Yarrowia lipolytica: one gene and its partner. The protein of the gene in region 2 interacts with the protein of the main gene of each other region in a pairwise test. Links are inferred from orthologs where the notes say so. Each region holds a gene or a part of one and is shown on either strand. Other genes may lie near its edges.

Region 1 (2,581 bases), on a different chromosome or scaffold from region 2:
TATATACTGTAGCAGTGGCTTTGGAGAAAATAAGGAACACCCGCACGAGAGGTTCTTTTTTTAAAAAAAAAAACAACAAACAAAACAAATCACGTGAACACAAATATGTCATTTTGTCATTTTCTTCTACATCCTTAAATTTTTCTAAGTACAGTTCAGAGAACTGGTCTACAAAGTCACTTACCTACAGGAGGAGCGTTTAATACATGCTGTAGAAGTTCGAAACAAATTCCACCGCAAGTCTCTCTACCAAATCAGTATGTACTGTACCTTTAAGATCTGAAATGATTTGGTGGAAACTATTATAAGAATCTCATACAACTAAGGGATATCTACCTTTGTGATGGCAGGTAATATCATTGTAGTACATACATACTGTTGTGTTCTCGATGTCACAGTCAACTTCCAGAACTTACCAGTCAATTGTAGTGCCAGTTATATTAATTAATCTCGTCTTTATGTCTTTATATGGTCTTCAGTAGATCGCAAGGTACACAACAACAGTTCATTCGCACACTTACAGTATGTACGTCTATCAATTCAGTATGTACTTCTATCTACAATGTTCACTTGGTGAAAGCCTCAATCTCCTCGATCACCATATCGATGGGGAAGTTGTCGGAGCCCTCTGTGAAGGACTGCAGAAGAGCTTGTCGTCGCTTTGTGGTCTCTGGGTCGGTGATGGTAGCTCCGTAGAACTCCTGGAGAGCCAGGATAAGGAACTGGGCATCCTGGAGAGACATGGCAGAGTCCTTCTCGACCTGACCATTCAGAAGAACACAGTCCTTGTCAGCAGCAAGGTCAGTGTGGAACATGAGAGTTGTATGGGGTCTAGCGAAGTCCTGGTGGAGCTTGAACTCGGCCAGAGTGGTGAAGATGACGTGGGTCAGGTGCTCTCCAACAAAGTTCCACTGCACAATGTGCATCTCACATCCCTCGTCTCCCTTGGGCAGTGGCAGAACGAACATGGGGTGCTTTCGGCCATTGAGGAACATCTTGTAGAAGAGCTGGGGGTCAACGACAGCACACAGAGCGCGCTCGTTGTTAATATGTCGGGCTCTCCACAGGAACTCAATTTCTTGCTTTCCAAGTTCCTTAAACTTGTCCAGCTTGACGAAGCTGTCGAGGTTCTTGAGCTCGTTCTTCGGAACGGGGGGAACCTCGCCAAGCTTCTCAGTCAGAGTCTTGGCCTCCTCTCCTCCCTCTTCAAGGATCGTCTTTTTTTCACTCCAGGCCTGTTCCAGCACCTTGGCGAGAGGATCAGACTCATTGAGCTTCTTGAGAGTAGCCTCAATCTCTGGAGCAAGCTTCTCCTTGAGCTCGTCAACAGACTCCACGCCCTCGGCGGCAGCCTTCTGCTTCAGCTTATCCTGGTATCGAGCCAGAACGTCAGCCTGGGTGGATGCATTGGCAGAAAGAGAAGTTCGTCCGATATCAGGACGAGCCCATTGGACACGCAGGTTGCTGAGGGAGCCAGAATAGCCAGAAGCCTGACGCAGGGCTTTAATGGGTGCCTTCTTGAGAAATGGTCTCATTGTGTGTGTTGAGGTTGGTTGGACTATTTGATCAGAGTTGATTTGCAAGCCTGATTCAGGTCACGTGGAGGTCGAGGCGTTGTCTGTGATGCCTTTGTTGTGTGTGTGGGTTCGATTAGCGGTTGTGCGGAATATCTAGCTGGTTTCTCGGAAAACAACATTCAGAGGATGAGGTGCAATAATTGATGCGCTATCGTGATTTTTGGTGCATGAAATAGGTAATCTCTTGTGACCTATCCTGATGTTCTCAACTACAAATAAGTATCGTCGGTATTTCATACACTATTATTGTGGCGTGCACTTGAAAAAAAGGTCCTGTACATCTGATTAGCGCCCAAAAGCTTTGAAAGTTGAAGGAGAGATGACAATGTGATTCTTCTGCTTGTAAAAATAAATAATAGATGTTGCTTCAGATCGAAATGGGGTTTTCTCAGACGTCATGCAATTCACAATTCACAATGAAGTGTGCTTCGGCTCGGTCGGACTCCGAGAAACTCTACGATTGATAGTCGTAAAGTGATCGGCTGTGGAACGGATCCGATAAGATCATTTTGATTAATAAGCTGAATATGGCTGCTATCACCAGTACTTGTAGATATCTTTCAAGTTAGACCTTAGGCGCGTTCGTGCCGTACAGAGAGCCCAGTGGGCCAAGAGTGAACGAAGGGGAGTGATATATTAACTAAGGCAAGCTTGCAGTTTTTAAATAATATCGCACCAAGAGAAGAGACTTTTGAAGTCACGAATACGATGCCATGTCTCGGTTGCAAGCACGATAGCTGAAACCCTGTGCTCTGCTCGGCTGTCGTCGTTTTTCCTTTTTTCTCTGTGAGATAAGATACGTACTTGTACGATGTTGGTGTGAGTACCAGATGTGCTGTAATTATTACTGTATATACTGTGGCTAGATTGGAAGATCAAACACTTACAACAAATACGAGTACGGTACGCATCGTATCTCAGATGACGATAAATAAATTAAATATGTACTTGGTACAAGTATGTACCACGGAGAATGATACGAGGGTGTCTTTGGAGCTCCAAGT
Region 2 (3,761 bases):
CTCACTTCCGGTCATCACACTCAATCTATCTTATATACATATTGCCTCTCTGGGCTTTTCCTGGATAGCTGACTGTGGGTAAAAACACCTGGAAAGAAAACTGTGGGGCGGTTGACACTCTTATGGTAAGCCAAACATCAACTGCTGAGTAGCAGTAACGGGCAAGTTCAGTCTGCCTCACACCAACTGTCAACATGATTCCGGACACGAGACACAGTCTACACCACCCATTTTCATTGCTGCAAATGGTGAAGACAGCAAACATCTCTGGCAGCATTGAGGGCCTCTGCTCCGCTCATTTTCGGTGGCACCCATGAGAGTAGTTGAGACCATTTGTCTTCTCACGATTCCACGACCTAGCTTCGCTCACAATGTCCCGTGAAATGAAACAATTCGCTCCGCTCATGATCCCAAAATTATTAGTACTCGCATCGCTAGTACTAACAGGCCCACACACCCACCACTCCATCTCCACCACCTTCCACCAAATAGCCTTCCTTGGTCTTCACCACCGTGCTTTCTGGCGCCTCGGGATCTCCCTCTCCTCGACCCAGACTCCAATGCTTCTCAGCTGCTCTGTCATAAATCTTGACGGTGTTTTCTCCATTGGTACTGGCGATTCTTCGGTTGTCGAAATCCAACGAAGTAATGGGCGAATCATACGCAAACGCGTCAAAGATGTTGCCCATTCGCAGATCCCAGATTCGAACAGACCGGTCACGAGATCCGGTTGCAAGATGCACGTCGTCAAACTGCAGACACGTTACCGCAGCGGTATGGCCCTGTAGGGTTCGCTGCACCTGTCCGGACCGCAAATCCCAAAGACGCACAATACCGTCAGCGGTACCGGTGGCAAGGGCTGCATCTCTGCACTGCACTGCGCCGATGAAGGGTGCGTTTGCGTCGAACCCGGTTCGGAGCCGATCGTTCGAGTACAGCGCATTCTGCGCAGAATTGGCCCAAATCACGTCCAGAGTCTGAACACATCGTCCAGTGTTGAGATCCCATTGTCGAATGGTTTTGTCAGCAGAACCAGACACCAGCGTATGGTCTGAGAAATGAATGGCAGAGATTTCACCCACGTGACTGTCGAGCACGTGAATGGTGTAGGCATCATCACCTTCATCCTGGGCATCGGGATTACTAACCACCTGGTCGAGGTTCCAGACCCGAATGGTAGCGTCAGCTGATCCGGTGGCAAGCACGTTATTGTCGACCTGAAGACACGTAACTGATGCATTGTGGCCCTTGAGATCGGTCACGAGATCGCCACGTGACAGGTCCCACACCTTGAGTCCCAGATCCATGCCTGCAGAAACCATGGTTCCGAACGGAATGTCAAAGTCCAGGCACGTGACCGAATCGGAATGCGCTTTGATTTGTCGGATCTTGTTGCCTGGCTCGTAGTACTGTTGCAGAGTGGGTTGCGTTTTTCGTCGGCTGAGGTTTCGTCGGGGAAGGGTCTTTTGACTTGCGCTCTGTAGTTTCTCAGACACACTCTTCAGATCGACCACATCATCCTCCAACTCCTCCGGGGTTCGGGTCTCGTAATCATGTCTCTGGATTACCTCCTCCTTCTCCTCCTCCATCTGTTCCAGCTCTGCATCGATTCGCAGCACTTCACTTTCCAGCTGGAACTCCTGCTGCTCCAAAGACGCCACTCTGTCAAACACAATCTGTCGCATGGACTGCAAGTGCGCCACTCGAGCGTCAATCTCGGTGATTTCATTTGCCGCCAGTGCCTTGCGCACCTCCAACAAGTCCAGCTTGTGACTCAGGCTCTTCTTGCCCTCCACCAGCTGTTCTCGAGCACTTTTTTCGCCGACTTTTGATCCATCCCCCAGAAGCAGCTGAGAGCCCACAGAGTGCTCCGGAAGCGTGGCCTGGAAGCCCTGAAACAGCGAAAACTGATTTTCGTTGCTGGGAATGTCCACCAGCATCTCATCCGGCAACAAAACGTCCTTGGAAGAAGAGGTGATGCGAACCAACTCGGACGGCCGCTTCGAGAAGGAAAAAATTCGCTTCTGGAACGCGGGCCGCGAAATGTCGCGCATCACGTGACTCTGGCTCAGATCGCCCGACACCAACGTCGACGCCGTGGCCGCCACGACTTTCGAAAAATGCGTTACGTCGGACATTGCTGTGTGTAGAGGAAAGGTTGGGGTGGGGGTTTGGAGGATCTGATATGTGAACATGCAGGTGTGACAATTTGGGGGGTTGGGGGTATCAAAATGAACATCTGAATGAGGAGAAAATGGCCATGTAATTATTTTTGTATTTGGACTACTACATCGCCAGATAAATGGCCCCGTCTACGATTACTAAGTCCACCCTAGGAACTCTAAATATTATAATCAAATGTGGTTGGATGGGCACTCATGCATGAACCTCAGCTCGCGCGTGTGGAATAATTGGTGTTCGGTGAACGTGATAAGGCACGTGACCAACTACAGGTTATGAGCAATTAAGAGAGAGAGAGAAACATAATGTGTGTAGATTTGGATCGGGATAGGTTATGACTTGGTGGATATGTTCTGTTGGGATTCTGTTGGGAAAGGTCAAGTACAGGATAAGTAAATTTGAGTACGAGCCGGATACGGAAGTGCGAGTATGTGGAAATATTGTATGAGAAAGTAGGGTGAACTTGGGATGAGGAAATGAGGCGTTGAGAGCTAAATTGAATGGTAGTGGTTATGTTTTGGTCGCTTCCCTGGAACCCATTATTTGGACCCCCAGGTCACTTTCAGTCTTAACTAAAGTCCAACTAGGCGGAGATAGGTTTTTGAAAACTGGTTCGACTCTTACAATCGAGCTCGAAAAATTGTGGCAGAGAGCTGATTTTTTTAAATATGGCAGCAAATGATGCTAGAAGGACTTCTGTTAAGTCTCCAGGTTGTCAATGGCTCTATTAATTGTAGAGGACGGGCGTTCAGCAGTGAGGACTCTGGCTATGATGTGCTTGTTGCACAATATCGAGCTGAAGAGAAGAATGAAGTTATTTTATGTCGCCAGACTGTTCACTGGATCTCGCCAGATGATAATTTCCCAGGTTTCCAAGCTGTGGTAGGGCAGTTTACTAGTGACTTTTGTTTTCAAAAAGGAGGCCTTTGGATGGTCATAAACATGTTCTGGCGATAGGAGGAAGTATCAGAGATGTTTCAATGAACGTTTCAACCAATGGCTACATCCATTTGGCGAGATTTATAAAACTCTTGCTATTGTTCAAGACACCGTTATGTTCTGTTGTGTCCATCAACGTATGTCTGAACAACATACAACACGGGCTCTCAAGATCCACCGACAGAGAATGACTAAGCTAGGCGACTTTGAGTGTATTTGAATGCTTTTTTTTTTAACACGAATTTGAACTCTTGAGTCCTCAACTGTGTCTGTTCATTGACCGCAGAGCTGGGTCTGTACTGACGACTTTTACAAGTATTGGAGACAGACAGTTAGTCTGTTAGAATCAAAACAGGAGAAGGAGAAAGAGTCAACATACCAAGCAACAAAAGGTTCGACCTACATGGACACTGGTATTTCTGTAACCAAAACAGCTATATCATTGTATGACAACACCGTTGTGAGAGAAGAGTATGGCTTATAACAGGAGAATCGCGCCTCCGACAAAAGCGAGGAGTTGACCGTTGGATTTATCATATCTAGAATCCTAATAGACCGTTTCTGTTATCCCATATCTCCAATACCACCCAACAAGTACACAAGTTTTTGTTCTCCCAATTTCTCTTTTCACATTTCTCCTT

Evidence for each region. The genes of interacting proteins can lie anywhere in the genome.
Region 1: the proteins of YALI1_C31281g (region 2) and YALI1_B22533g interact in a two-hybrid assay, tested with the Schizosaccharomyces pombe proteins (2 studies listed by BioGRID). The link is inferred for Yarrowia lipolytica from reciprocal best matches to the Schizosaccharomyces pombe genes mdv1 and atp11.

Annotation. Positions count from the first base shown.
Region 1 is NC_090771.1:2,252,260-2,254,840, reverse strand, and holds YALI1_B22533g (uncharacterized protein), read right to left. Parts: upstream 1,536-2,581; coding exon 567-1,535; downstream 1-566. UniProt on the Schizosaccharomyces pombe protein: Essential for the assembly of the mitochondrial F1-F0 complex. May interact with the alpha and/or beta subunits of F1-ATPase.
Region 2 is NC_090772.1:3,126,535-3,130,295, reverse strand, and holds YALI1_C31281g (uncharacterized protein), read right to left. Parts: upstream 2,196-3,761; coding exon 441-2,195; downstream 1-440. Other genes in the region: YALI1_C31299g (uncharacterized protein), read right to left, coding at 26-144, 195-333.